4 linked regions of the Tamandua tetradactyla genome follow. The protein of the gene in region 3 binds, or shares a complex with, the protein of the main gene of each other region. Links are inferred from orthologs where the notes say so. Each region holds a gene or a part of one and is shown on either strand. Other genes may lie near its edges. The genes, in order: EIF3B, EIF3L, EIF3J and EIF3D.

Evidence for each region.
Region 1: the proteins of EIF3J (region 3) and EIF3B are in contact, whole or in part, in an NMR structure (PDB 2KRB), measured with the Homo sapiens proteins. The link is inferred for Tamandua tetradactyla from reciprocal best matches to the Homo sapiens genes EIF3J and EIF3B. Residues at the interface, in NP_003749.2 of Homo sapiens: Asp45, Glu46, Asp50, Asn51, Trp52, Asp53, Asp54, Asp55; in NP_001032360.1 of Homo sapiens: Lys202, Asn205, Val206, Ile207, Lys209, Ile210, Lys213, Asn249, Ala250, Asp251, Gly252, Tyr253, Lys254, Leu255, Phe261.
Region 2: EIF3J (region 3) and EIF3L share a complex: the UniProt entries of both Homo sapiens proteins name them as parts of the eukaryotic translation initiation factor 3 (eIF-3) complex. The link is inferred for Tamandua tetradactyla from reciprocal best matches to the Homo sapiens genes EIF3J and EIF3L.
Region 4: EIF3J (region 3) and EIF3D share a complex: the UniProt entries of both Homo sapiens proteins name them as parts of the eukaryotic translation initiation factor 3 (eIF-3) complex. The link is inferred for Tamandua tetradactyla from reciprocal best matches to the Homo sapiens genes EIF3J and EIF3D.

The regions. Positions count from the first base shown.
Region 1 is NC_135349.1:1,763,175-1,770,948, reverse strand, and holds the start of EIF3B (eukaryotic translation initiation factor 3 subunit B), read right to left. Parts: upstream 3,200-7,774; 5' UTR 2,837-3,199; coding exon 2,317-2,836; intron 1-2,316.
Region 2 is NC_135333.1:30,216,803-30,224,535, reverse strand, and holds the start of EIF3L (eukaryotic translation initiation factor 3 subunit L), read right to left. Parts: upstream 3,217-7,733; 5' UTR 3,117-3,216; coding exon 3,084-3,116; intron 2,758-3,083; coding exon 2,709-2,757; intron 2,024-2,708; coding exon 1,813-2,023; intron 1-1,812. UniProt on the Homo sapiens protein: Component of the eukaryotic translation initiation factor 3 (eIF-3) complex, which is required for several steps in the initiation of protein synthesis.
Region 3 is NC_135340.1:58,895,362-58,903,362, reverse strand, and holds the start of EIF3J (eukaryotic translation initiation factor 3 subunit J), read right to left. Parts: upstream 3,493-8,001; 5' UTR 3,386-3,492; coding exon 3,191-3,385; intron 1-3,190. UniProt on the Homo sapiens protein: Component of the eukaryotic translation initiation factor 3 (eIF-3) complex, which is required for several steps in the initiation of protein synthesis.
Region 4 is NC_135333.1:28,870,833-28,878,770, forward strand, and holds the start of EIF3D (eukaryotic translation initiation factor 3 subunit D), read right to left. Parts: upstream 3,316-7,938; 5' UTR 3,134-3,315; intron 792-3,133; 5' UTR 783-791; coding exon 660-782; intron 359-659; coding exon 313-358; intron 1-312. UniProt on the Homo sapiens protein: mRNA cap-binding component of the eukaryotic translation initiation factor 3 (eIF-3) complex, a complex required for several steps in the initiation of protein synthesis of a specialized repertoire of mRNAs.

The sequences.
Region 1 (7,774 bases), on a different chromosome or scaffold from region 3:
TAACGCCAAAATGTCTTTTAATCTTATGAAATAAAGAATAATAAAGTAACTGGTAACCCTTTAGAAATCTGCTCAAAAAAGTTGAAAAATACTGGGTTCCCTGAATTTTTCATTCTACTTTTTAAAAGATTGTGTGATTGTGACTGAACCTCTATGAAAAGACACAACCTCACAAAAAACTTTGCATCTGACCACCACGTGTTAAGATATTATTTTCTTGGTTTATCACTGTCTACTTCAATACAGTGTTTTCATTTTTCTCTTTAGTACAAAGTCAATAGGTAGATGAATCCATGGATGGGGTTCCAGCTTGCTGAAATAAAAGCTAAAAACAAAACAAAACAAAAGAAATAAAAACAATGAGATCAGCCATCAACAAAACTCACTTTAAGAAACAGGACCTCAGACAGAAGCAGAAATGCCTGAAAGTCATTCAAGGTAGAACTGAAGCAAATGTGGAAAGATAATTTGCAAGAGAATGATGACAGCCTGCTTTATAGGCTTAGCAGGACTCTGCAGGGCCTCGGCCCAGCACGTCCTGCTCAGACACCTCTGGAGGCAGACACCTGTGGGGTAGGGTGAGCCCGCACTGTGGGGTAGGGTGAGCCCGCACTGTGGGGTAGGGTGAGCCCGCACTGTGGGGTAAGGTGAGCCCGCACTGTGGGGTAGGGCGAGCCCGCACTGTGGGGTACGGCGAGCCCGCACTGTGGGGTAGGGCGAGCCCGCACTGTGGGGTAGGGCGAGCCCGCACTGTGGGGTAGGGTGAGCCCGCACTGTGGGGTAGGAACCAACCCACACTGTGGGGTAGGGTGAGCCCGCACTGTGGGGTAGGGTGAGCCCGCACTGTGGGGTAGGGTGAGCCCCCACTGTGGGGTAGGGTGAGCCCGCACTGTGGGGTAGGGTGAGCCCGCACTGTGGGGTAGGGTGAGCCCGCACTGTGGGGTAGGGCGAGCCCGCACTGTGGGGTAGGGCGAGTCCGCGCTGTGGGGTAGGGCGAGTCCGCACTGTGGGATAGGGCGAGCCCGCACTGTGGGGTAGGGGTGAGCCCGCACTGTGGGGTAGGGTGAGCCCGCACTGTGGGGTAGGAACCAACCCACACTGTGGGGTAGGGTGAGCCCGCACTGTGGGGTAGGAACCAACCCACACTGTGGGGTAGGGTGAGCCCGCACTGTGGGGTAGGAACCAACCCACACTGTGGGGTAGGGTGAGCCCGCACTGTGGGGTAGGGTGAGCCCGCACTATGGGGTAGGGGTGAGCCCGCACTGTGGGGTAGGGGTGAGCCCGCACTGTGGGGTAGGGCGAGCCCGCACTGTGGGGTAGGAACCAGCCCGCACTGTGGGGTAGGAACCAGCCCGCACTGTGGGGTAGGGTGAGCCCGCACTGTGGGGTAGGGTGAGCCCGCACTGTGGGGTAGGGTGAGCCCGCACTGTGGGGTAGGGTGAGCCCGCACTGTGGGATAGGGGTGAGCCCGCACTTGTGGGGTAGGGCGAGCCCGCACTGTGGGGTAGGAACCAACCCACACTGTGGGATAGGGGTGAGCCCGCACTGTGGGATAGGGGTGAGCCCGCACTGTGGGGTAGGGTGAGCCCGCACTGTGGGATAGGGGTGAGCCCGCACTGTGGGGTAGGGCGAGCCCGCACTGTGGGGTAGGAACCAGCCCGCACTGTGGGGTAGGGTGAGCCCGCACTGTGGGGTAGGGTGAGCCCGCACTGTGGGGTAGGGTGAGCCCGCACTGTGGGGTAGGGGTGAGCCCGCACTGTGGGGTAGGAACCAGCCCACACTCAGCAGTCAGAGCCCGCTTTTCCTGCAGCTCATTTGGGGGCCTGGCTGGCGACCTCTGAGAGCACTCACGCCTGCACACCTGGAAGCTGTCACACCTGGGAGAGAGGGCCCTGTGGCTCCACCTCTGCGGGTCCCCGCCTCGGGGTCCGTCCCTGAGGTCTGCCTAGGCAGCCAACCCCAGCCCGCGCCCCGATCTGCGGCGGGGACGCAGACGAGGGGACCCCCGCCACGCCGTTTCTAATCTGTCCTGGCAGAACAGAGCTGAAGGCGGGCAGGCTGTCCGGGCCGAGAGTGGCTCCCCACGAGGGATGGAGGATGGAGGGCGCTCCCACCTCCCTTGCCGGCTTCTAACGCGGTCAGAGGACACCTGGGCGTGTTTCCAGAACCCGGGACTTCTCCGCAAACACCGCACGGCTCTAAAACTTTCTCTTCGAGCTGTCCCGGGAGGAGGGACGTGGGGACGCCGTCGTTCACACCCCGACTAAGATCTCGGAAACCGAGAGGGCAGAGAAGAGGGCCGCGGGCCCGCCTCACCTTCCTCGCCCACGTCGTCCACGAAGTCCTCGGGGTCGCTGAACGAGGGCTCGTCCGCGTCGCCGTTCTGCACCGCCTGCGGCTCGGCCTCCTCCGCCTTCTCCGCGTCCACGCCCGCCTCCGGCGACGGGGCCTGGGGCCGGCTCTCGGGGGCCTCGCCTCCGGCCTCCTCCCGCGCCTGCCCCTGCGCTGGGGCGGGGGACCCGGGCGGCGACCTGGGCGGCTCCTCCTCGGACGCGGGCGAGGGCGGCTGAGACGAAGCCGGGGAAGCGCCGAGGGCCGCGGCGGCCTCGTCCGCCTCCTTCTCCTCGACCTCCGGTTCTGCCTTCAGAGCAAGCTCGGGCCGGGGCTCGGCCGCCGCCTCCGGCTTGTCCTCGGTCACCGCCGCCTCCCGAGTCGCGGGCCCGGCGGGCCGCGGCGGCTCCTCCTCCAGCGGCTGCTCGGCGGCGGGCTGCGGCTGCCCCGGCTCGGCCCCGTCCTCGGCCGCCTCGGGCACCGCCACGTTCTCCGCGTGCTGCATGGGCCCGGGCGCGGCCTCCCTCTCCTCAGACCCAGCCGCCGCCACGCTTCCGATTCTCCCAGGTCGCACCGCGCGCCTCGCCGGCTCCTACTCCCGAGCCATGTGCGTCCGCCCCGGGAAGTCCGCACCAAAGCGCCCAGGACCGAGGGGGGCACCCACACCCCTCCCACAGCGACTGACAAAACCTAGAGTGTAAACGACATGCATACCAATCCTTACAACTATATCAGTATGACCACTATGTTGCCAATTCTAATCATCAAGGTTTTCATCGCTCGGCAAACTCAACGTGCACCATAACTACCCCATTTGAGACGGCGGGTTGGTTCAATCCAACATGGCAACCACTCCCTTCCTTTTCCCATGGGGCGCTACGGCGGACTGTACTATTTGTGACGCCGAAGGGAGACTTAAGAAATTATCTTTGTAAACGAACTTCTATGAAATTTAAACTTTAAATAAAATATTAATATTAGGAAAACTCTAAGTTCGAAAAGCGACTTTGGTTGATGCCATAGCTTTTAGCTAGACAAATCACTTCGCTAACATTACGAAATTCCCCCATTACATTCGGCTCTTAGACTTGTCTACTGACAGAGCGAGAGAACGGACGATTCCAAAACAGGAAAGGAATTTGTGGAGAGGCAGAGGCCACTAACAGTACTGGAAACATGGCTGCCTGGGCCAAAACAAAAATTTATGAGACGTGGTTTAACCGTGTACGCTCAATCGCACAGTGCTTGCTGTACTCCTGCCGTCTCCCTATTCTCACTTCACGATGGTTCGGACTCCCGAGACTTCCGCCCTCGGCCGCGAGACCGGGCGGATCACGTGGCCTCGGGGGGCGGGGCCGGAAGCCACACGGGAGCGTCGGAGGGGTGAGCTGAGGCGGCTTAGGGGAGGTTTGCCCGGGTTTGTATTTCGGTTTTCCTTGCGAAGCTTCACAGCAACCGCTGAATGTGCGATATTTCGATCATACTAAGAAGAACGAGGGTTCTGTGGCTGCGTCTGCTGTGTTTGAATTCTCCCCATCCTGTCAGCTGTGTAACCCGGGGCAAGTCCCCGAGCCCCGCTGCCTCAGTTTCCCCATCTGCGCAGTGAGACGCACATTTGACGTGCGCGGCACGTGGGACCTATCTTGGGAGCCCTTCTCCCAGAAGGGTCCGGCAGCGAGCTAGTTCTCTTCATTACCAAAGGATCCTCTCCATTTCTAGTTTCACCTCGTTTTCTTAAATCGTTGGCTTCTGCCAACCCTCTTCTTATGGAACGTGCTGGAAGGGGACAGGTCAGTGAATGAGAAGCAAATATGAACCCAAGCTTTTCAAAAAGCTTGAAGACGGCTGACCTTAGCTGGACGCGGGGGAGACTTCTGCAGCGTCGCTCGCCCTGCGCGGAGCAGCTGCTCCCTAGGATTTTGCACTGAACGGACTTGGCATGGCCTTTTCTGCAGAGAGAATAGGAACATTGTCTCTTAGCTTCTAGAAAAAGCACTAAGCCCCTCGGCCGTGTAAGAGGCACTGCACGCGATGCCCAGGCTCGGTCAGCGCGTGTGTGCAGCGGGCGTGCAGGGCGCGCGCGGTGGGGACGGCTACGGCGGTCTCGCCCTGGAGGGATCGCCGAGTCGTGGGGCGACCGTCGTCAGTGGAAGCTCAGAAGTGAGTGTGGCAGTGCGTCTGTGGTCGGTTCTTCAGTCACGGGGCACTCCTCCCTGCAGAAGGTGTCGCCGGATCATGCTCTTGATGTGGGTGGGCTTGTCACTCGCCCCTGGTGAGCAGAAGACAGCAGAGATGAGGTTATGTGACTTCCAGGTCTCCGTCATAGAGTCTGATAAGTCCGCCTGGCCCTCCCTCTCTTGGATCTCCGGCTCTGAAAGAAGCTCGTCATCAGGGTGATGACGCCGCAGAGGTGGAGGAAGTGAAGTCTCGGACATCTGAACGCCTTGGGAGCAGGGCCTCCTGCCTCCAGCAGCTTCGGGTACCTGCCCTGCAGCCAACATCTTGATGCAACTCTGAGAAGCGGGGGGCCAGGGCCATCCCCCAAGCTGCTACGGGATTTCTCACGCACAAGAGCCACAAAATAATAAATGTTTATTGTTTTAAACCCAACCCCCCAATTTGAGGGGTAATGTGTTATTTAACAATAGGTAAGTGACACACTAGATCTGTATGTGATAACGTGGTTAGCACTTATGCATATGGGGTTAAGGTTATTAATTGCACATTGATATGTACAGTATGATATCAATTACAAAAAATACGCATCATGTTATAAATATTCTATGAATAATTTTGGTCAGTATTTACAATCTGTACAAAAAGATCTGGAAGAGTACACACTAAACTGAGAACTGGTTGATGAGAATGAAAGGGATTGATGATGTGAGTTCAAGAAACATGTTAGTTATAAAATCTAGGTGGTGAGTTTGTGAGTGTTCACTGTAAAATTTCTTTTAACTTTTCTGTATATTTGAAAATTTGGGGGCAGAATGACTCAGGCCATCTTCAAAGGCCTCCACTAGGACAGTTTGAGCCTCAAAAAGAATAAAAACTGCATTTGATTCATGTACATGGCATATTTAAATCTATACGTTCATATTGTTATAAAAAATTTTTTAAAAAGACAACCTTGTTAATCACAGCTCAATATTGCTGGGCAGTTATTCTGCAAATAAAAGACTCAAGCAAAAAGTAATTTATCTTGCTTTTCTTCTTTGACCCTTAGATAGCCAAATATTTGGTGAGAGAAAGTTCTTTTTGTAAAAGAATTCTAGCTACTATATGCAGAAAGTTCAATAAAATTAGGAAAACAACATTTTTCAGTCCTTCAGAAATAATGAGTCTAAGCAATAATCCTGCAACACTTCTGAAACCATTTGATGAGAGTTGACAGGTAACTTTATAATGGACAGGGTGATACCACATGAATTTAAAGCCTTAAATTTATATCCACAAATTCCCCTCTATCCACTACTTCAGTTGCATCCCACAATTATATGTTATGTTTTCAGGTCAAAATATTTTCTAGTTTTCATTATGATTTCTTCTGGGACCCACAGATTACTTAAAATTGTATTGTTTAATTTCCAAATATTTGAGGTATTCCAGATACATTTCAGTAACTGGTTTCGGATTTAATTTTCTTGAGGACAGATGTTCTAGTTTGCTAGCTGCCGGAATGCAACATAGCAGAAACAGAATGGCTTTTAAAAAGGGGAATTTGATCAGATGCTGGTTTATAGTTCCAAGGCCGAGAAAATGTCCCAGTTAAGACAAGTCTATAGAAATGTCCAATCAAAGGCATCCAGAGAAAGATACCTTGGTTCAAGAAGGCGGATGAAGTTCAAGGTTTCTCTCTCAAGTGAGAAGGCACATGGCAAACACAGTCAGCGTTTCTCTCTCATCTGGAAAGGCACATGGTGAACATGGTCAGGGTTCCTCTCTCATCTGGAAGGGCACGTGGCAAACATGACGTCATCTGCTAGCTTCTTCTGGCTTCCAGTTTCATGAAGCTCTGAGGAGCCATTTTCCTTCTTCATCTCCATAGGTTGCTGGCTGATGGACTCTGCTTTTCATAGCTATGTGTTTCTGCTCTGCTCTCAGAATCACTCTCATTCTCCAAAATGTTTCCTTTTTTATAGAACTCCAGAAACTGATCAAGACCCACCCACATGGGTGGAGACACGCCTCCACCTAATCCAGTTCAACAACCACTCGACTAAATCACATCATCCAGGGAAATGATCTGATCACAGTTTCAACCATACAGTATTGAATAGGGATTATTTTGCCTTTACGAAAATGGGATTTTGATTAAAACATGGCTTTTCTAGGGGACATACATCCTTTCAAACCAGCACAACAGATAACACACTTTGTGTGATTGCAGTCATAGAAATTTAGATTTATTGAGATGTGTTTCATGGCCTAGAATGTGTCTAACTTGAATGTTCCTTGTACACTTGGAAAGCAACTGCTGTCATTGGGTGGCATGTTCAAAGAATGACAGGTCAAGATGGTTAGTAGTACTGTTCACATCTTCTGAAACCTTTCTGTCTTTCTGTCCACTTGTTCTATTAATTGCTGAAAGAGAAATGTTGAATTCTCCAACTGTGATTATATATTTACCTACTTCTCCTTTTAGTTTTATCACTTCTTTCATCTACTTTGAAGGTATAATAGGTGCATATATATTTAGGATTGCCATGTCTTTTTGCTGAATTAACCCCTTTATTATTAAAAATGTTCCTTTTTATCCTAGGTAATATTCCCTGTTCTGGAGTCAATGTTGTCTGCTATTAATATAGGTACCCTCCAGTTTCCTGTTAAACGTTTGTATAAGATAACACTTTTAATCCTTTTGTTTTTAACATATAAGTATCTTGATATTTAAAATAGGTTTTATAGACAGCACACAGTAGGCTCTTTATAATCTAACCCATCACCAGCAGCTGGTTGGCACATTTAGATGGTAACTTTTATAAATCGTTGGAGGCTGACTGTGGACCACCTGGAGAATTAAAAGCTCCTGGGAGCCAATCTTGGAGGGGCCACTACGCGCTCACAGGCTTTGCCTCCAGGAATTCTGCCAGGTTCTTCCAGTGAAGATTTGATAAAGATCCCCTTGTGCTTTGAGTAGGGGAGGAGAAAAGTGCCATTTTAAAAATATGTCTAGGAGAAAAGTAAGCATTTTGAAATACCCAGAGAATGCTCTATAACAGAAGTCTGCCCTCAAGGAAAAAGATTAAAAAAAAAAGAAGAAGAAACATTTCTGAAAGTCACAGCTCAGAGACTCAGGGGCAGTGAGAAACTGAGCTTTATTCATAAAATTATAGCGTGCTTCCCCTCTCCAACACTTTATCACCACATCCAAAGGGCTTCACTGAGAGTGCAAGGGTAGTGGTAGAATTCTCATCTGCCATGCAGACCGGGTTCAATTCCC
Region 2 (7,733 bases), on a different chromosome or scaffold from region 3:
TCTCTTCTCTCTTGGTTCTTATGACACTTCCACTGATTTACTAGCAAGTTTTTTCTGTTCTGTCTCATTTACTGATTCCTTTTCCTCTGCCCATCTGTAAAGAAACAAATTTCTTACGGCACCAATCAGTCTTTTCACTTAGCATTCTCCTCAGGAAGGATCTACCCTATGTTTGCCTTCAGCTACCAGCTATATCCCTCTGTGCTATCCATTACAGTAGGTACCAACCACATGTGGCTGGCACGACTGAGGAAGCGAATAACTTGGGTATGTGAGTCTACCTTTAGAACTGTAAATTTTAAGAAATACCTACAGATCAAGTATTTACAATGAAAATGTAGTATGTGAACTGAGATATTCGATAAATGTAAAACACACATTAAACTTAGAAGACTTAGTATGAAGACATAAAAGATCTCATTAACAGTCTTTGTTGTTATTGAACAGATTTTAAAGTTGGTATGGGTTACAATTCCACAATTTTAGGTTTTTACTTCTAGCCGCTCTAAGGTACTGGAGTCTAAAAGAAATGTCAATATGATTCAGCACTCATAATCACTTGCTATACCCTACCTTTTCTGTACAATTCCTCAATTACCTTTGATCTTTCTCCCACTCTTTAGGAGTATCTGGGCTATGGCCATTCTAGCTTTTTCATGTTGGAAGGGGCTGTCAATAATATGAGATAGGGGGATGGAACTAGCTGATGTTCTGGAGAGGCTGGCCCCTCTGCATTTCAGGACTTATCTGGTCCAGGGACCCATCTGGAGGTTGTAGGTTTCTGGAAAGTTAATCTAGCAGATGGAATCTTTGTAGAATCTTATATAATGCCCTAAGTAGTCTTTAGTTTTGACAGGAATGGTTTTGGTTGAGGTTTGGCAAGTTATGATAAGAAGCAACGTCTAACTGAAGCTTGCAATGGTTTTTTTTTTATACTGATTATTTGCAAAATTATATTTTGGGTACATGGGATTAAATAACATTAAAATGAATTTTAACTGTTTCTTTTAATATTTTTAATGTAGCTGCTGAACATTTTTAAATTACACTAGTGGCTAGTATCATGTTTCTATTAAATAGCAGCGGCCTATATATTTCTCATCAGAAAGGCCTGAGGAATGAAGGAAACAGATCAGGGATTAAGGTGCTCCTAGTCATTGACTCAGTAGGCCTCGAACCATATTGCTTTCACCATTCACCCTTCCAAGACTGGCTTAAATTCTATTACCTTGGCGAAGACTTTCTTTACTATCCCACCCTGGACTGATCCACCTCAGCTCTAATGCCCAGTACACGAAGGCAATCCTCAAAACACCAGAAGCAACCACTCTGGAGCCTGGCACACCACAGCACACACCGAGAGGTTGTAAAGCACAGAAGTTCAGAATTAGGCTCTGGTGTCAGACTGTATAATTTCAAAATCTAGCTCATCCACTTAGCTTCTACATACTTATACTCATGCACTTATCCCCTGTGTATTGTTTCTTCACCTATAAAAACAGGAAAACAACAGGACCTACTTCATAGGGTTACTGAGGAGGGTAACAAATAAGTCCAAAAGTACTCTGGGTACTGCCTGATCCATACTGATAATACATATTAACTGCCATTATAATTATTAACATAGCTACAGTTATTTAAGGCTTTATACAAATTCCTGGAGCTATAGTCCAACAAAATAACTTTCCCCTTTCCTACTGAGACTCCTGGGCAGTTTCTTCACAGAAAATGATTAAACAGCACCCCTTCTGTAGGGCCTGAATAGCTAGGCTAGTACCACACAGTGAGGTTATTTTGGCCAGCAGCACATACCTGTTCTCGTAGATGTCCTGGATCTCATACACCTTCTGGTCAATGACATCACTGGAGACTCGACTGGCCTGTAGCTCATAAACTTTCTGATCAATCAAATCTGAGACGGTTTTGTGGAAATACTGGATAAAATTTTTTATCACTTCAGGAATCACCTGATATGTCTGCTGTTCATACTGACGTTCATAAGCCAGGTCCTGCTTTGGATCTCCTACAGGTTGGATATAATAAATAAATAAATACTTTACAAAGTGCTCTCAGACCCATATTATGTGATGTAATGAAAAAGGCAGGACCATCCCCAAGTAACCATGAGCTAAATTCAAGTCTATGAAATTCAGTGTAACTCCCCTTTAAACAACTCAAAGAGATATAACCTTCCCTAAGTTGTTCTCCATCCCATCACCCTATTTCTTCAGGACATTTATCACTACTAAAACGATTTACTCAATTATTTGTTTTCTCTACTAGAAAGTAAAGTTCTAAGTACTAAATCAAGCCCAGTCTTTGTAAATTGTACAAAACCTCAAAGCTCCTCTACCCCACAAATACTTCATTTGAGTATGGTTTGAATCATTTCAACTTTTCACGTCAAAATTCTCTTTTTCGGCTAAAAGTTAAAACAAAGAGACCACAGTCTGGCCAGTCAAAAATCCTTCTCTTCTGAGACTGTTTAGACTGACCACAAAAAAGGGGGGGGGGGGGGAGAGTAGGAGGTTAGTTTATTAGATTCTACCCAACCCTCCCACTGAGAGTTAATAACTGACTCCAAGCCTGGACCATCAAGTAGCAGTTTTTAAGAGATACCCATCAGAGCTGTTCTGAGCCATTCAAAAAGGTGCCAATCCCTAAGATAGTCAAACAAACTCTTACCTGTATGTATATACAGGTCTTACCTGTATGCATATCATAGTCACCCGGGTAAGCATATGGATCATAAGCAGCCTAGAACGACAGACACACATAGTCAACAATTTGTGAATCCACAACCTTCGTCCCACGGGCATCCTGCGTCAAGTAGGAAGCTAGGGATACAGGCATGGGCAGGGTACAGCCTCTGTAGTCGGTCCCGAAAAAGGGAAGGACGAAGATGACCAGGCAAGAGAAGCGGGCGGGGAGACGGTGGCAAAGGAAGCCGGAGCTGTGGCTACTGCATAAGGGCCACGCGGGAAGGCAAGGCGAAAGCGAGACACCATCTCTCCCCGAGGCCCAGCACCCAGAGAGCCCCTGCCCAGGTCGTGGACCCGACCACGCGCTTACAAGCATCCTACCTCCGACTCGTAATCATCCGCGGGGTAGGACATAGCAGCAAAACTCGCGAAACCGCCGCCGAAAGAGAAAAAGAAATGCCACCGCCTGCCCTGTGAGACCGGAACTTCCGACACTTCTCGGTCCTGCTGGGAAACCGGAAGCCTTGCTATAGCCGGCGGCCACCTCAGATAGCCATGTTCGGAAGGGCTAAAAAAAAAAATAATAATAATAATAATAAAATAACTACAAGGCCTAAGTTCTTTCTATTTTCTTCAAAGAGAGGCTTTGAAAGAAAGTCACGTTATATGACTTTCATAAATTCAGAACTAAGGGCATGAAATAGTTCGGCATAAAGGGCGGGCAAATTAAGTCTCCTATGAAATGCCACACAAAAGATGTCTGACAGCTTCCTGGGTCCGCCTTCTTGCGTGAAAGGATATCCGGACGTAGGGGGCCTGACTACGGATTTAGGTGTGGGAGGCTTGCCTGAGGCAAATAACGTCTTCAAACTTTCCGGCCTCAAGACCCTAAATTTGCTGTGTTACAGTTGAGTCTTGGTTTCATTCAGTGAGGTGGTATTGAGAAAAGGCGCTCCCAACTTTGCACATTATGATTGGAGCAGGCAAGAACGAAGCCAGCTGTTTCTGTAGCAGAGAAGCTAAACTATCTATAGTTGGCCTAAGAGTTTATAGCAGAGGACCTCTTTTGTTGCTCAGGTGTGGCCTTTCTCTGAGCTCAGCTCTGCAGGGAAGATAGTTGCCCTCTCCCTACAGACATGACATCCAGGGGTGAAAGTCTCCCTGGCAATGTGGGACATGACTCCAGGGGATGAGCCTGGCCCTGGCGCTGTGGGATCACCTGCACTTTCCTCACCAAAAAGGGAAAGAGAAACCTAACAGAGTGAGATATCAGTGACTGAGAGTTAAAGTGAAGTCAAAGGGCTATTCTAGAGACTACTCTTACACAAGCTTTAGCTAGGTATTGCTAATTTCCACAGTTTGCCAGACCCCAAACAAAACCATTCCTGTTAACCCTGAGGAATACCTAGGGCTCTGTCTGAGATTGTATATAAGTTTCATGTACTAAGTTTATTTTCTGGAAATCTACAACCTCCAGATGGTTTCCTAAGCCAGGTAAGTCCTGAAATCCAGAGGAGCCAGCCTCTTCAAGAACATCAACTAGTTCCATCCCCCCGTCCCATATTATCGACACCCATTTCCAACATGAAAAAGTTAGAATGGGCAAATAACTCTAAAGATTGGGAGGGGGGTGGGGGGAGAGGGAGAATTAGAGAAGATAGGGTTTGGTGAATGACCAACCTAACTCGTTATATTGATATTTCTTTTAGTCTCCTGTGTCTTGGAGTAGCTAGAAAGAAAAACCTGAAATTGTGGAACTGTAACCCATGTCAAACACTGAAGTTTGTCCTATCACTACTTGTTACAATGTAGGTTGAAATTTATTGCTTTTTTTTTGTATATATATTTTGCAAGAAAAATGTTAAAAAAAAAAAAAAAAAAAAAACAGAAATGCCAGAGCCAGCTGTGGTGTTGTGGTGTGAAGCCCTAGGGCGAAGCCTGAGATCGAGTCAGCGCTTGAGCACCCAGGCTGTGCATTGTGATCGGAGTAGTAAGAGGTGCTCTTAGCTCTGCGGGAGCCCTGGAATTAGGGATGGAAGCTATAAGACAAGCCAACAGAAACCGGGAGGGGGCCTTGGTTTAGCCATCTGCCCGTTTACAATACCAAGACAGGAAATCTGGGTTCCAGTCCCTGCTATGCCTCTGATTTGCTGTGTGGCCAGAAGCAAGTTTCACCCTCTCTGGGCCCTAGCCTCCATATTTTCTAGTTATACTACCCTCTTTGCTTTTCCCATCTGCTTCAGGGCTTTTCTGCTTAGAATTACCTGTATCTAAATTCTAGAATGCAGTCCTTACAGACATCCACAAGGCATGCTGCATCACTCCTTCAGGTGTGTTTACTGTCATCAACTTAGAGCATCCTATTTTAGAATTACAACTCCCAGCTCCAGTGCCCTTTGCCCTGTTCTTGCTTTGTGTACCTTAGTTGCAGTGTCATCAAAGGTGTGATTAATTTACCATGGAACTAATGGAGCTTAAGTTTCATGTCTCTTTGATTCACCAGGTCTCTTCCATGACTCAGGAAGAGTAGCTAGCAATGTACTCACATGGTCAAAATTTGCCAATATAATATTGTTACTGCAATTGGTTCCAACCACTCTCTCCACTCTAATTCCCTTCTTTGCAATTCACACTATGTCTGTTGGCATTTGGATCTGGCAGAGGAAATCTAGTTGGGAACATTTGGGTTTAATAAGATGTATGTAAGTGACACTGCTCCTTCTGTGCATAATTAACTTATTGCAGGTCTCCCTAGGTAGGACACTTACCATCCCCTGTTGTCAGTGAGTGTCATCAATCAATTATGGAAAATGATAATATGAAATTGTCATATAAAGAGGCAACCAAAGGGCGGGCCACGGTGGCTCAGCAGGCAAGAACGCTTGCCTACCACGCCAGAGGACCTGGGTTCAATTCCCAGTGCCTGCCCATGTTAAAAAAAAAAAAAGAGGCAACTAAAGAGTAATTTGTCAGCCAAAAAAAAAGAGAAAACATTATGGAAGTGTTTCAGAACATTAACAAATATGTTACTTCTCTGGATTTGTGATGTTTGTGGTAGTTGTCACCTTTAAAAAATTATAATTGTTTGAGTTCTCAAGTTGTGCTGTGATTTCTCCTTCTAAATTGATACTCTCTTTCACACCTGGCTTTGTGTAATTTTCTAGTCGTCATTCTTCATATAAGATTCAGGCCCCACTGAACTTGGATCTCTTGTTTATAATACTATAGCATATATTTTATTTGTTAGTTTTTTTCTTTAAGACTTTCTACCCTCCTGTACACTCTAGTTTAGAGAATCACGATGCAAGTTAGAATGGTAAAGGCTCTGAGTGGAGCCTCTGCACTGGCTTCTTTTTCCCATTTTTATTAGTTCCTCATCATCTCTCCAATCACTAAATAGTGAACTGCTCTATCCTTCCTCGGTTGGTCCTTGGGTCTCTTCATTATCTACCTCACTCCCTGTCTCAGCCAATCCAGTATACTTAGATATCATCCGTATGCCACTAACTCCACAGATTTCTCTCTCTTCTCCAGACCCCACCCCTGACGTGGGCCCCTGGCCCATTGCCTGTTCCCATCACAACCTGAATATTTAATAAGCACCTCAAAGTTAATATCCAAACTGAACTCCTGACCTTCTGCTTCAACCCTGCTCCTCTCACAGTTTCCCCCATCTCAGTGAAGGGCAACACATTTCTTTCAGTTGCTCGGGCCTAAACCTCCAGAGCCATCCTTTACTCCTCTATCTTTTTACACCCCACATCAAATCCATCTGCAACTCTTGTTGGCTCTACCTTCAAAAATATTCTCAGATTCTCAGTTCTTACCACCTTGGTCTCTATTATCTTGGTTCAAACCACCATCATCTCACCTATATTATTGTAACAGCCTCCTCACTCTTCCTGCTTCCACTCTCAATCCATATCTGTCGAACTGCATTTAGAATGAAACTTACTCCACAAGCTGTAAAGAATAAAGTAAAACTGTCTTTATTCACAGATGGCATGATACTCTATATAGAAAATCCTAAGGACTCTACAAAGAAGTTACTGTAATAAATTTATCAACGTTATGTGAAATATGGTCAGTATGCACAAAAAATCTATTATATATTTTTTAAATAAAAAATATATTATTATATACTGGTTGTGATGATTAAGTTTATGTGTCAGCTTGGCCGGGTTATGGTGTCCAGTTGTTTGCTCAAACAAGCACTGGCCTGATTGTTACTTTGAGGATATTTCATGGATTTAAATAATCGTTAAGTTGATTACATCTTCTACAATCAACTGAGAAGATTGCCTTCAACAATGAGATAAGACTCATCTAAAAATAATGTATTAGATTAAATGTCCTTATAGTTAAGTCATTGTTACTTGCAGCCTAAAGCCGTCTTAATATGCCTTATCCCTTCATTTTATATTTTACACATAGAATCTTCTGTGTATTTGATTCAGGATTTGTAAATTCCAGAAGAAACCTGTGCATAAAATGTTATCAATGTTTTCAAATAAATTTATTGAGATATTAAAAAAAACTGAAACTTACACCATTGCGTTACATTTTCTTAGAAATGAAACTTTGCCCTAAAAGCAGATGTTTAGATGCCCTAAAACAGACTCTGAGATGTCTCATCACAGGGTATTTGATTTTGCAATGTTCGCTTGTTAATGGAAAAGCAGCACTTCAAAGGGAAGGAAACTGAACAGACCAAAGCTCCTGGAATAATTTTACCCAGGAGAGCTGTCTATAGAATTTGGGAGCTGTAAAGCTTCCCTGTTTTCTCTTGATCTTCTTTTGCCTGGGGGTTTGAGACAGGAAATTCCCTGAATCGGAAAAGCCATTAGTGCTATTTTACAGTCTGCCTGGATTTTTCAGCTGTGTTCAGTTCAAGCCCCATTTCCCACTGCATCCTGGGGTTTATATGAAGTTTACTTACTGTCCTGTTTGTTTCATTCTCCTGAACATGACCTTGTGACCCCTCTCCAGATTACTGCAATAGCATATGGACCCTAGGAGAGCAGTAGCTCT
Region 3 (8,001 bases):
GAAGTTACGAATGTTTGTGTTTTTTTGGTGTTTTTTTTTTGTATTTTAAGAAAAAAAAATTTAAAAAAAGGAATACCATAAACAGTAATTAACAGGTTTTAAATTGCTTATTTTGTACAAAAAAAAAAAGTCCTAGCTGAGCAAAATCAAGATCAAGATGCAGAACACTAAACAAGTAGCTTATTTATTTTCAATGATCCTGTATAACAAATATGATAAATATTTTTCAATAACAGACATGCTTTCTACTTCAAAACTTGCTAGTTCATAAAAACTGTCAGGGTACTAGAATGATGAGACTGGGATTTTCTTCAAAATAATCTGGTCAGGGAGGACTCAGTGGGGATATAGAAGAAATAAGACTGCCAATGGGTTTATTAAACTTCTCTCACTACTTCTATGTGTGAAATTTTCCCTAGTAAGTTCCACATGCACAGCATACTTCAAGATGCCCATTTCCTGGTAAAATGCCCACATCCTGAGTATTTCCCAAGAAACTCACATTTCTCCAAAATATAGTCCCTTTCTTCAGAAGTGCTGTTTTCAATGCCTGAAAAATGCCCTTACTCTGGTAGATTTAAAGTATTAACTGGGATAGGATCGTAACAAAACAGTGAAAGAGTAGAATGAAGATAGGCCGTTTTCTACTAAGTCAATTCTCTAGGATTTCTTTTTAAGAAATTTTATTATAAGGTTATAGAAACAAATACCTAAGATGGACGGACACAGTCAGAAGTTTCCTCTGAGTAAGTCTATCTTTTAACCTGTTCTACTGAAATGCTGGAAGATAGTAAAGAGGAGTATAAGCTGTGTTGTCCCTGCTTCTGTGGGTAAGTGCTCACTGCTGTCTCAGTCAGTGCTGCGTATACATCACATTCTAGTACTGGGGAAGGAGCCCAGTAACATATGCCAAGCAGACAATTCTTCCCACTGACTCCACATACTAGGATAGTAAGAAAAGCAGAATAAAGACAGTAAGACAGGAAGCTATGCTCCCTAGTTCTTACCTTTCTAACTGGGGAGAATCATAACCTCTTCCTCCATGAATATAAACAGTTCTATAGTTTCATCTAAATCTACTTCTGCCACTGCCAGACAGCTCTCGGATAGTCAAAGGCAGCAAAATGCTGTAATGTCTACTGAAAATAGTAAGCAACGTAAATTACCTTAACATCTCAGTTCTCCTACTTTTTAAAATTTGTTTTAAGCCTATATTCTTAAAGATTAAGCATTAAATGCTGACATAAACTGAAGAACTTATAATAATGTCTTGGTATTGAATTTTTTTTAATTTATGTATTAGTCTCAAGGAAACTAAGCCCTGTTTGTGCCTCCTTACAAAAAGAGTATACCTTAAAACATTAGAATTCAGAAATCTGGTGTTACTCATCACCACCAAACATGACAACATTCTAGACTGGCAAACTCTGAGCAAGCAAAAAGTTGCTTGCTAATTATGGTCATTTCATTCAAAACACAAAAGTCATAGTAAATAGGCACTGCGGAAAACACTATTTCTCAGTTTAGGAAATCATAAGCAATGTGGCAAAAAATAAGCACAGACACTAGATCTCAAGAGCCTAGCCATATTTTCCGTTAGCCTGAAAAATGAAAACTCCTATGAAGTGAGAATATTTATTCTGCTTAATTCTTAACATATTACCTCATTTGATCTGCAGAATTACTCTATGAGGTAGTTCCTATAATGGCCATTTATACTTGGGAAATTCACTGACTGGAAAACTAAAAAAGAATGTTTAAAAAACATGCTTATGATCCCAAATCTAAAAAATGTCAAAACAATAATATAAATATAAACCCAGATCTGTCTGGTTCCAAAGCCCAGGAATCAAACTACTCCATGGAAATCAAATCTTGAGAATCTTGGAGCAGCTCAAAAGAAAGAAATCAACATTTCAACATGGGAATATAATGGACAAGTTCAGCTTTCTTCTCCAAGATCGACTTCAAAGTTTGGGAAAAGAAATTATTTGTATATAAAGAAAAGTTCTGCACTGAAGGAGTGACTGCACAAGATAACCTTTATGGTCTCTAACCACTTGTGAATCTCAAAAATTAGTTCCAAGTAATTAGAATTATATTTATCAAGATCCACACCACTTAGCTCCCATAATCCAAGGCAGGTTTCTTCATTTTATCAGTCCAGACTGCTTTATCCAAACTTCATTTTCTGTGACTTTTCATCTCTCTAATATTTTCTTCTCATTTGCTAACATCCCCAGTTTTCATAATAGGTATCTTAACTGCCACACTGAGTATGCACAGAAAAAGTGAAAGCACAAATTTTGAACTTAAAGTCTCAAAACTGAAGATCTGCTGCAGGGAGGTAACTAATATCTTGTAACGAGTCTGGTAACACACTCCATCTCCATGTCTATATAACATGTAAATGAACCATCTAAACTTCTTCAGTCAATAACAGTAATACTCAATTATTAACTCCAATACTTACAAAGTTCATCTATCGCTGAACCTTAGGTTAAGAAATTGGCCATCCACCACATCAGACTCAGGAGAAAAGGGAAAATCCAAACAGTGCTATTAAATTCATAATGATTATCTGGTTTAAAATTTTCAATCCAAGCACAAGAATCGTACTGTTCTCATTATGTGCTAAGAAGGAAGTTAGGAGAGTAACATTCTCTAAATTAAAACTATTAAAATCAATTAATAATGGCTTGAGAGTCCTAATATTCTGGACATGAGACTTTTGTAGCTATTAAATAAACATTGGACTCTCATCTACTCTAATCACCAAACCTTCACTATTTCATCCTAGGGTCACCTATGTCTAGAGGAATAACTCAGTATGTCAATTCTCCTTTATTCGGGTTAGTTGGGTGGACTTTAGGTGTCTGACCACTAGGCTACGACCTGTTTCAGGCTCAGTTCATCCTTTTCACCACAATGCAGGGGAAGGGAAAGCTAAAACTTATTTCGCCTTATATTTGTCTCGTGACAAAAAGATTGAAACTAAACGACAATATTTCATCTAACAACTAGAACACACGCTACCATTAATGGGACTTCCAGAACATTAATCAGTAACTGGCCCTAGAGACTTAACCTCGAAAAAGAAGGAGAGTCGAAGACTTTCCATATGGGATAAACCATGGGGCTCAATTCCCAACTTCCGAGCGTCATCCCCTAGTGGCAGCGGACTGCGAACCTTGCACGTGGGCCAGGCCGGCCGGGCGCTGCTGTCACCTCCCGTCGCCAGTCGGTGGGTGGGATCCAGGCCCGAGAGCGGACCCTCAAAGAAGGGCTGGAGCTGGAGCCGCTGCCGCCCTCGGTTAGGGAGTCCGGAAGGCCATGACGCCGGCCACTGATCCATTTGACCGGTCAACGGAGAGGGAAAGGACATCACAGAGCCCTACGCTCTGCTTGGATCCACGGCCCCGCAGGCCTGGGCATCGATCCCGGGCCCGGAGTCCGCCTACCCCTCTGTCAGCGAGCATCCCGCCCGCGACAACGCGAGCGCCAGCCCGCTTCGGCGCTACCCGGCTCCCGGGTCCGCACCCACCTTGACGTCCTCGTCTTCGTCCTCGCCTTCCCAGCGGTCCCCGCCGGCGGTGCCGCCGCCGCCCCCCACCTTCCGCACCGGGTCTTCCACCGAGAACGTGTCCGCGTCTACGGAAGAGAGCGAGCCGCGTTAGTGCCTGCCTCGGCGTGGGGCCAGCGCAGACCCGGGCCCAGCCCCCGGAACTTCTCCTTACCCCAGGAATCGGAGTCTCCCGCCGCCGCCGCAGCTGCCGCCATCTCAAGCAGGGTGTGAGCGTGTGTGATGGGAAGAGCGATCGCGGAGTTAGCGGGGCGGAGGTGAGTCACTGGATTTGCTCTCGTTGGCGGACGCGGGGCAGGCTGGGACCGTGGCTGACTGTGCGCCGGAACCGAAGCCCCGCCTCTCCTGGCGCCGGCTACTCGCGCGCGGGCTGGGAAGGGGCGTGGAACGCGGCGGGCGGGGCGGAACTGGGAGTGGCGGGGGCGGGGTCAAGCGGGCCTTTTTTCCCAGCTCAGGACGGTCCTGGAGGCTGGTGGGACCGAAGAGAGGAAGCAGTCAGGAGAGCGCCAGTCCAGCCCGACCCCGAGGGAGGAAACGTAAGTGCGGCGAAGTTCGTAGGGCGGCCCCTTGCCTGGAACTTGGTTCTCGCAGGTCCTCGCCGCCCTCCCCTTACGTCCCCAGCCCCGCCCCGCTCACGGGCGTTCTGCTGGCGCGCCTTCCCTTTGATCCCGTGGCCCCCAGCCTCTTCACGCCGCGCTCAGAAGAGGGCCAGCCAATGGGGGCGGCGGACCGGCCTCTCGACTCCAGAGGGTGCCGTCCCGTGCCGGAGGGGACTCGGCTGGAAGCCGGCATTCCTGGGGAAAAGAACGAGTGGAGGGGATAGCCTCTTGCCTCCTAGCCAGGGTGTTTGGAGCCAGCCTGTGACTCGCTTGCCTCGTGTTAGTCATGAAGGGATCGAAGAGAGCCCCCATCTACGAGGATTTTCCCTTCCTGTGAGCTCTGTGAGGCCAATACATTGATTCGTTCGTTCTTTTCTCAGAACATTTTCGGAGCTCCTCGTTCTGTGCTAGGCATAAACTCTAGCCTTGTCCCCAAGGAGGGCACAGTCAAGTAGCAAAGGTAGACATGTGAACAGATTTTGACACTGGGATTACTGCAATAAAAAGAAGCATTGTGAGGTTAAATGTAAAAAAGTAACATTAAAGGCAGCGGGGGGCTGGAGGGTGCAGGAAAGTCTTTCCGAGATAGGCGCCGCAGAAGCTGGAGTTTGAAAAACCAAGTGGAATGTGCTCAGGTGTATTTCCGGTAGAAAGAACCGGGCGTGTGGTCCAAGATCACATTTGAGTGTGCATTTGAGTGTGGCTTAGTGGCACAGTTGGTGATAAGGCTGACCAGGTGAACCAGTCATAATGGACTTAAGGTGGACTAAGCAACTGCACTCTGCTTTTTAGGCCACGGAGCTCCACTGCAGAATTTTAAGAGGCGAGCCGTTTCAGATACTTTTGTTTTGTTTTGTTAAATATGTAATACACATACTTGATAAAGTATCCAAGTATGAAAGGATACACATTGAACAGCTATTCTCTTCATCCCACTGGCAACCATTATTTCTCATCTCTCGTGTACCCTTTCAGAGAGAGTCTATAAACTTTACAAAGATGCTCTTTCAAGAGACAGTCTGCAGCCCTGTTACTCAAAGTGTGTGGTAGCCCTGTTACTCAAAGTGTGTGGTCTAATCAGCATTAGGGCAGTACCTGCAGAGTTTGTTAGAAATGCAGACTCGGGACCCACCCCAGACCTATTGAATCAGAATCTGCCTTTTTATTAAGATACCCAGATCATTTGTCTGCACATTAAAGTGTGAAAGGCAGTGATTTACAGGCAACCACTTACGAAGGAGAGAATACAGAAGGCAGGGAAACTCTGAACTGTATGCTCCCTGAGGGCACACTCTATTAATAGTTTACAGTTATCTCCAACATTTGGCACAGTGCCTAATACATAGTAAATATTTTAAGAATGTAATTAAAGGAGCACGTAAGCCTGAATGATGATGGAGGGGGAGGAACTGATCTGAGAAAAATTTAGGGGTTAGAATCAACAGGATTTATGGAGAAGGAGGGGAAGGGAGAAATAGATGATGGTGTCTGTTCTAGTTTGCTAGCTTCCGGAATGCAATATACCAGAAACAGATTGGCTTTTAAAAAGGGGAATTCAATCAGATGCTAGTTTACAGTTCCAAGGCCGAGAAAATGTCCCAATTAAAACAAGTCTATAGAAATGTCCAATTTAAGGCATCCAGGGAAAGATACCTTGGTTCAAGAAGGCCAGTGAAGTTCAGGGTTTCTCTCTCATCTGGAAAGGCACATGGTGAACACGGTCAGGGTTCGTCTCTCATCTGGAAGGGCACATGGTGAACACGGCATCATCTGCTAGCTTCTTCTCCTGGCTTCCTGTTTCACGAAGCTCCCCGGGAGACATTTTCCTTCATCTCCAAAGGTCGCTGGCTGGTGGACTACTACTTCTCGTGGCTATGTCATTCTGCACTGCTCTCTGAATCTTTTTCATTCTCCAAAATGTTTCCTCTTTTATAGGACTCCAGAAACTTATCAAGACCCACCCAAATGGGTGGAGACATGTCGTCACCTAATCCAGTTTAACAACCACCCTTGGTTAAATCACATCTCCAGGGAGATGATCTGATTACAGTTTCAAACATGCGGTGTTGAATAGGGATTATTCTACCTTTATGAAATGGAATTTTAATTAAAACATGGCTTTTCTAAGGCATACATCCTTTCAAAACAGCAGTGTCTTTGGAGATTAACGGAGTGGTAGTGACACCCATCTGGTTACTCAAGTCAAAAGCCCAAGACCATGCATGATTGCTTTGTAACTCACAACTTCTCTAATTAAAAAAATTATAATAACAATAAACACACACACACACAAACCACAAAGAAAAACTTAGGACCTATCCTTGATTTCTTTCCCTCTCTCTCTCACCCCATAAATCCAGTCCATCACTGAACTCTGTGCCAATATTAATGTTTAATTCATTTGTTTCCTTCCATCTCTTGCCACCACCCTAATCCAAGCTATCTCTGTATTGTTCTACAATAACTGCCCACTTGGTCTTCCTTCTTCCACTCATCCCTCTCCATAATTCATTTGCTACCCACTAGTCAGTTTACTTATAGACTGTAAATCAGATTGTGATAAGCCCTTTCCCATCCCCACCTCCAAGTGAAATCCTTTAGTGGCTTCTCATTGCTTTTAGAATAAATCCAACTCCTACCATGGCCTATAGGCATCGCAAAGTCTGACCCCTATGCCTCCTGTCAACCGCTCTCAGGTATTCTTCCTCTCATTAACTTAATTGCCGCTGGCTCTTTTTGCTGCTACTTGGACACACTAAGTCTTTTCCTATTTGGAGGCTTTGTACTTGCTGTTCTTTCTGTCTGCAGTGCTCTTCCCCATTTCTTTGCATGGTTGGCTTCTCCTTCTCCTTCAAGTCAAAGCCTAAATGTTTCCTTTGCGGAAAACCATTTTCCCTGCTCTTCTTTGCAAGGGGACTTTACCCAGTTATTATATCTCATTGCTCTGTTTATTTTTGTCATAGCACCTATCACAATTTATAATGGTCTTATTTATTTGATGTCTGTTTGGAGCACAAGGATCCTGTCTGTGTTCTTTAATACTATATTCCTGGGACATAATAAGAGCCTGGGATATAATAAACGCTCAATGTTTTATAAGTGTCTCTAATCATAAATCAGGAATTCAGGAATGAATTAAGTTTTGACCACCCAGATCTTGACATTCTTGGGAGATATCTAAATGGAAAGGTCTATTTTTGACATTTACCTTGGAGGTAGATGGTCTGGGTTACAGGTATAGAATTAGGACTCATCTGCTTGTGGTGGTAGATGAAATCATGTGAAAGTAGAGGTCATGTGGGGAGAAAAAATAAAAATAAACCTGGAAGAATATCAACATTTAAGCAGCAACCAGAGGAAAAAAGTGAGAGGATACATCTTCTTTTGTATCCTTCCAGTTCCACCATGTTTTTGGTAAAAAAGTGAAATACTGTGGAAGGTGGTATATTGGAAAATTCTTATTTGGTGATCAGGAAAGCTGGGTTCTTGTTAGTTAAATGATCAGATTATTTTAAACTGAACATGACACTTCTGGGGTAATGGGAGCTCACAGTGATTTCTTCTTTCCTAGAAACTGCCACAGCACACAAGGGTAGATGGGCCCACCAAACCATGTCTGCTCCCATATCATAGCTGATTTTAGAGAGGGAATCAGAAGTATATTAACTGTGAAACTTTAATGAAGCTTTAGTTTCAGGGCTCCTCGTCACATGGGCCCTGTTTCAGTTCAAGCAAATACCGTGCAGTGGGTCAGCTTAAACAGTGGGAACTTACTAGCTCACAGTTTGAGGCTAAGAGAAAATCCAAATCATGGCGTCC
Region 4 (7,938 bases), on a different chromosome or scaffold from region 3:
TTTCACGGATCACAACAAAACTCCTTGCTGATCTCAGCCTCAGATAACCTTAACTTAGTGCTCTAGGAAGCTACTTCCAACCATCTCAAACAGAGACAAAAACCTATTTACCAGATTTGGAATTTAAAACTAGGGGTTTTAAACTGGGGGTCTACTGTTGGGCTTCAGAGGTTCAGTAAATCTCAGCCAATTGAATGCAAAATAGGAATATGTTCAACACATTTTAAAAAGTGTCTAGAAAGCTTTCAGATGCAGATTACTAGGAAGAAAATCGTCACAAGGTCCTGATCCAGGCAGCTGAAGAATACTTACTTGTATACCTCTTATCCTGGTATGTGGCACCTGTCCAGTCTGCAACCTATTAAGAGCCATAAGGGAAGACAGAGAAAACATAGATCAACCAGTTAAGTTTCTTGTGATCCAGAAATCCCTGAAGTGAAAGGACACAATGTGATAGAGTATCAGAAGAACTGGTTCACAATGGCTTTTTAAGCACCCAGTTTTCCTATGATTACTCACAGAGGTTATAATCTTTCTCAGCTGGTATCACTATAAGGAACACAGGAGTTTGGCTTGTGAGAGAATAAAACTCAAATAGGAACTCCTGGAGAGAAGTACCGTCAGTTTAAAAGATGCAGAGACCATGGACAGGCAAGTACCTTTCCTAGCCGATCTCCTTTGCTGAATGGCTGGTAGGGCATATCCCGAAACTGCTCAGGAACTGCACAGGGACCCCAGCCTGAGGGGTTGTCCTGAATCACAGGAGTCATGAACTTCGCCATGTTCTAAAACTAAAAAATACAGAAAATGTGAGTTGCTACATGAAGGAAGTTCCCAAAATACAATTCAAAAAGCAACACACAATACAGAATATTCAACTGTGAAACTCTTACCAGTGTTTTCTTATAAATACTCTGAATAGTTAAAACTCAGAAGACTACTAGCCTAGTTAACATCTTTGAATTAAGGATGCACCTTATATTTGATGGTATGTCATAGCTTAACTTTCTTAATGTTACATAAAATGGTACTTTTTAAAATTAATGGTGTCTCAGATTTGATGAAATATGATAATATTTTTTTCAAGTGTGGTAACCACATTTGGTTCTTCCTTCACCATGGCATAGAACACTTCCCTAAGCTTCAGTCCCTGCATCTGTAAAATAAATGGAATCTGTTTTATCTGTATCATTGGATCACTGAGAAAGTCATATTAATTAACACATTTGAAAATGCTGTCTTTGTAAAATGCCTTGCAATTACTATTTGACTTGCAAAAATATATTTCTGAACAGAGTACTTAGAAAAAAAAAGAATCCTTCAGTATACCTTGAAATCTGACTTTCTTCTGTTGTCTAGTTTTCTATTATTGATGCAAATCCTACATGGAGCAAGTGGAAACAGAGCGAGGTAAAAGGGCTGCCAGAAAGGTGAGGTCACCAAAAACTTTAGGGCGGGGTAAGGGGTGTGGTATGTATGATTCTTTCGTTTTTATTTCTTTTTCTGGAGTTACGCAAGTGTTCTAAGAAATGATCGTACTGATGAATATACAACTATGTGATGAAACTGTGAGTGGTTGATTGTACACCAAGTATGGAATGTTCATATGTTAAGAATGTTCATGTTTGTATGTTGTTTTGTCAATAAAAATATTAAAAAAATAAATTATGTATGGATGAAAAACTATTTACAAATATTATGGGCACTAAGCCTTGTTCTTAGTGCTTGACATGCATTGATTCACTACATCCTCCAAGGAATCCTATGAAGTTGGGGCCAGTGTTATCCCCACTTTCTAGATAAGAAAACCAACGCTAAAGCCGCAATATTGATATTGATAAGGAATTTGAACACAGGCAATCTGGCTTGAGTCCATACTGTGCTGCTGTACCACCACTGCCATCATCATCATAATGCCACAATAGGTCCCCTCAGGAGATCAAACACCAGGGACTCTACGGCAGATGCTTGCCTTATAGCTCTCATCAAAAGCCTATGCATTTATTCATTGTAACTCCCTGACAACACTCGGAAGCATTTTCCCAGAGGAAAATTCATCACACAAATATCTCCTGGAAGCTGGAGAGCAATCAAAGAGCACAGCTGTACTGAAATTGGCAAACTGTCCTCATGGCCCCAAGACGGGGAGGTTGAGGGTTCCTGGGTGACAGCAACAGGAAATGAACCTGGGAGCATCATCTTCCAACTCTGAACTGAAGCTATATTACAGGGAGAGGAGTTCAGAAGGAAAGGGGTGGCAATCGCAACAATTCACATCCAGTAAGTATTTCTTGAGCTCCTAATTACATGCCAGGAAATGATACTAGATACTTTATCATCAGTAATCCTCACTCTCCCAATTTTAGAGAATAAAAAACGAGAAGCTCAGCCAAATTCCACGCAGCTGATCTGTCCATGGTTTCAAAATAAATTTGATTTCGGGGGCTGTTTGCTGCAAGTCCAGCATTCTTTCCATTCTATTATAGATGGACAGCAGCCAGGAAATATCTGGGGCTTTCAGACCAGACTTCTCCAGGCGATGGGAAGTAGTACCTGGGCTTCAGGCAGTGTAAAATAGTGAGAATAGAATGAGTACGGAAAACTGAGCCGTTCAGGCAAAACTATAAGGGCAGCTGTACTGGCCCCAGGAGCAGGATAGGGAGGCATCAACAATGCAATCAGAAGGGTGGTTGGGAGGCCATAGTGTTGCGTAGATTACCACGGTCACCACAGACCGTACGCCATCAATCCCCGAGGACAACTGCATTCTACCCTCCCATTTCACAAGGAAACCAATGAACTGTGAGATCCTCAAGGCAGGGGCCGAACACCGCTCAGGATGGCACCTCCAGTATTAAACTCATAGGAACTCAGATCACTTTTGAAGGGAGACCCTGAGATCCAGCAGGTTTGGGCAACAACCAAATTTGCCTAGCCTAAGGCAGCTAAGCGGAGCCTAGAGCCAGGGACCTCACACACAGGGCTGGGTCCCCTCAACCCTCACTGGGGGCTGCTGAAGACGCGGCGGCAGGAGCCGACGTAAAAGAGGTCTCTTCCGGGAGGCCCTGGAACGCCGAACCCAGCCCGGGCCGCTTCCGGGGGCCCGCAGGGTCCCACGGAAGACCCCGCTCACCTGCAACGGCCTCGGCCGGCCCAGATTGCGATAGATGGCCTGGGTCAGAGATCGTGCCACCGACAGCTCTCCCAGGAACCGGGAAAGGAGGAAAGATGCGCGCGCAATAGCCGGCGCCGTAAACAAAACCGGCGCTGTCGTAAACTGTGCGCCATCTTCCTCCGGATTCGGCAGAAGAATGCATGAGCCGTAAAGCTAAGGCAGTCCCGGAAGTTCGTCACTGCTCTTTATGAGGTGTCGGCGTTATTCTCCGAGGCGCCTAGACGCAAGAGGGTGGTTACAGTTACGATCAGACGGCGTCCGGTGACGCTCAGCATTGCGACGTGGCAGCCGTGCAATGGAAGATAGTGGCTGCGAGAGGCTGACAGACGCGCTGTATCCCACAGTGCTTCAACCGTCCTCTTCGGTACGCAGTGATCCGCGGCTCCTCCGCTTGCTCTAGTTAATCGTCTCGTTTGATTCTCACAGCAAGCGGGAGGAGCGAGTTTATTAATTTATTATTATTAACCTCCCCTTTTACAGTTGCGGACGCTGAGGCCGCCAGGTTCATGGTTCAAACGCTACTTACACAGTTTTAAACTTTATTGCTCGTCAGAGGTTTCTGGAGCGCTAGTTTTAATAAATGCAGGCTACGGATCTCACTTTCGTAGATTGTTATTCAAGTAATCTAAGCAGGAACCCAGGAATCTGCAATTTAATTAGCAACTGTGAGTCTGAAGTGGGGGACTCAGAAACACTTTACATTAGGCAAGTGTTGTCCCTTCTGCAGCTCCCAGCCAATAGATTTTGTCCAGGAGTCTTGAGCGGTTTCAAAACATTCTTCAGAAAGAAGCTGGGTGTGACTTTATTAAAATCCCAGATCCTTTTGTGCCTTGCCTCCTTGGTTTCCTGATCATACAGTTTGGAAGACTGTCCTTCATTGAAAGACATATCAGACCTTCATCTCTCTGAGCCTCAGTTTTCTTATAAGTAAGAAGGGGCTGATAATAAGGGGATACTGTGGGGGTAAAAATAGAGAATGCATGTCAAAGTACTTAGTAATTCCTCTAACCTGTTGGGGAACTTGGACAACTTATTTAACCTCTTTAAATCTTACTCATCTGGAAAATGAGAATGTGATAGCAGCGCCTATCTCCATAAGTTCTCTCCCAGTTGCCCTTGTTCTAGTTTTTCTGATTTTTGTTTGTGACAGCCAGTGAGTGGTGTTTAGGGCAAAACTTGTAGTCATAATTGGTAGCTCCTTTTCCCTTTGCATTACGTTCATTAAATACTCATTATTCAGCTTCCAAAATATATCTTAAACTACCATCTCTAGCCTGCAAACTTGGACTCCCACTCTTGCTTCCCTACGGCCCATTCTCCACATGGTGGCTAAAGCATCGTTCACAACCTTCTAGTGACTTCCCATTGTGTGCTTAGAATGAAATAAGAATGTCTTCCCATGGCCTGCCTGGTACTTGGTTCCCTTTCCACTTCATATGCTGCTGTTCTCCACTCACTGCTCCAGCTGCCATGGCTTTTTTGAACCCTGAACCCATCAGGCAGGGCCTCTGCACTTGCGTTCCTTCTACATGGCACACTCTTCCACAAATCAGCTCATGGTTGGCTTGGTCCCTCCATCTATGTCGCTACTCCAGAGTTGCCTCCTCAGAGAAGTCTTTTCATACCATCCTTTCTAAAATAGCTACTTTCCCCTTCATCCCTCCTCCTTCTCTGCTTTGTTTTCTTCATAGTTCTCATCACCATGTGAAATATTTGTTTCTTTGTTTAGGGTCTGTCTCCCCTCTAGAGTTTAAGCTACGTGAAAGTGTGGGCTTTGTCTGTCTTCCCTAGAGGAGTGTCTGGTAGTAGTATTTGTTGAATTGATTGTTGAATGGATTGGGGTTTTGGACAATTAAATGAGAAAATGCATGTAGCACATTACCCTGGGCACATAACTAAGCAATCAATAAATGCTGATATAAAATTAATATCAATAGTAAATTGAGTGTGTTCTGAAATATAAGGGCAAATGTATTTTTATTGATTCGCTTGGATCGTGTCTTTTCTTTTTTTGCTGTGGGCCTCTGGGCCATCTGCTGCAGCTTCCTTCCATGACTTGCCCAGTGTTTAATAATTTTCCCCATGTTTTGGTTCAGATGTCCCTGCCCACACCAGAGGGAGGAGTGCATGGAGTGTCCCATCTCGTTCTTTGTAGTGGGTCCCTGGATTTGGGTGAGAGATCTTGCCCCTGTTCCTCCTCCCAGCTGAGACTCCTGCTGCCACTATTTCTGCCTCTCCTGGTGCCCAATCTCTAGATGGCAGGAGAATGACCCTCCTTTATACTAAATCAGAGCATGCCTCATCTTCCCCAACTTCCCTGCCCTTAAAACCCTTCGGTGGCCTACCATTACTCTGAGGGTAAAGTCATAAACACCATTCCATGACCTACAAGGCCCTAAATGATCCTTCTTCCCTCTCCCAACTCAACCCTACTGTCTCCCCTTTCCCTTACTAGCAGCTTCCTCTTTCTGGAACACATCCAAGCCAGTTCCTACCTTTTAACCTGCTGTTCTCTAGGGCCTGGAATGGATTTCTCCTAGATTCATGTAGGCCTGTGTTCTTATCGAACAGGCTTTGTGTATGTGTGTGTGTGTGTGTATTTAATATTTTTATTGACAAAACAACATACAAACACAAGCAGTCTTAACATATGAATATTCCATACTTGATGTACAATCAATGCCTCATAATATCATCACATAATTGTATATTCATCACCGTGATCATTTCTCAGAACATTTGTATCACTCCAGAAAAAGAAATAAAAAGAAAAAACTCATACATACTACACTCCTTACCCCTCCTTCTCATTGACCACTAGTATTTCCATCTACCCAATATATTTTAACCTTTGTTCCCCCTATTTTTTTCCTATACCCCTTACCACTCTCATTGATCACTAGTATTTCAGCCTACTCAATTTAACACTTGTTCCCCCCATTATTTGTCCATATCTTTTACTCATCTGCCCATACTGTAGGTAAAAGGAGTATCAGATACAAGTTTTTCACAATCACACAGTCACATTGCAAAAGCTATATCATTACACAATCATCTTCAAGAAACATGGCTACTGGACACAGCTCTACAGTTTCAGGCACTTCCCTCTAGCCACTCTAACACACCTTAAACTAAAAAGGGGATATCTATATAATGCATAATAATAATCTCCAGGATAACCTCTTGACTCTTTGAAATCTCTCAGCCACTGACACTTTATTTTGTCTCATTTCTCTTTTCCCTCTTTTGGTTGAGAGGGTTTTCTCAACCCCTTCATGCTGAGTCCCAGCTCATTCTAGGGTTTTTGTCCCATGTTACCAGGGACGTTTACACTCCTGGGAGTCATGTCCCATGAGGAGAGGGGGAGGGCAGTGAGTTTGCTTGCCGTGTTGGCTGAGAGAGAGGCCACATCTGAGCAACAAAAGAGGTTCTCTGGGGGTGGCTTTTAAGGCCTAATTTTAAGTAGTCTTAGCCTGTCCTTTGTGGGGATAAGTTTCATATGAACAAACCCCAAGATTGAGGGTTTGACCTATTGATTTGGTTGTCCCTAAACAGGCTTTTCTTGACCACCCTTCTGAGCTGCTTCACTCTGCCTCATTAACTTTTTTTTATATTGTTACATTGAGCTTGTCGCTTACCTGGTACTTGTACCAAGACTTGCGTTAACTTATTTAATCCTCATCGCAACTCTGTGAGATAAGGACTATTATTCTCCTCATTTTACAGATAAGGAAGGTGGGGGTACAGTAAGATCACACTACATGCTCTAGGTCAAACAGAATACATGGCAAAGGTGGGGCTCAAACTCAGAAGACAGCCTGCCTCCAGCATCTTCCCATATCCCATTACTGCTTTGTTGGGATCCTAGCATTTATGTCGATCAGAAGTTACCGTACATTTATTTGCTTAATTATTTATTGTCTCGTTAGAAAGTTAGACTCCTGAGAGCAGAGGTTTTCCATGTCTTTTGTGTGGTGGTATCCCCAGCACCTGGAATCATGCTTAGCACTGGTAGGTTCTTGGGAAATGTTTGTTGGATGCATGAATGAACTCCCGTGCATCCATGGCAGATCCTTCCACTGCTGCTCTTGTCATATGCCTTGTTTTATTACTTAGGGGCCACCTAGATCTCACCCCCACCCCCAGTCTCTGGACTCCTCCAGTGTGGGGCTGCATTATTTGGGGTTGAACTGTCAGGGCTCAGCACTCCACCTGGCACCCAGAGTATGTGCCCAGAGATGAGGCCTTTAGATACTGTTGCTAGAGACTGAAAAAACAAACAAAAAAACCTCAGCGTTCTTGCCAGAGAAGTGTAGATTTGGGGGCAAGTGCCCTATTCTCAAAAGGAACTCTCATTTAGTCTTTCTGGTTTGAAAAGTTACCCCACCATCTTTTTCCAGGGAATTTAATAACTAATTTTTCATTATTGCTAATAACAGCTAATCTTAGCACAGCGGTTTATAAGCAACTACGTCATTTCTGCCTCATGGTGACAATATTTTAATATTAATTTTGCGGATGGTAAAATGAGACTCAGAAGCAAGGTCACTAACCAAGGTCACACAGCTAGTGAGAGGTGGAGCTGGGATTTCACTTATTTATTCATTCAACAAACATTTGTAAGCACCTGCTCTGTGCCTAATACAGAGCTAGGAGTGGAGGATGGAGCAGGGAGCACACAGGTGAGGGGCCTATTCTGTGGAAGGTGACTTTTAGTGATCACTGCAACAGAGGGCAATTTTATTTCCCTTCTGCTGAGGGTG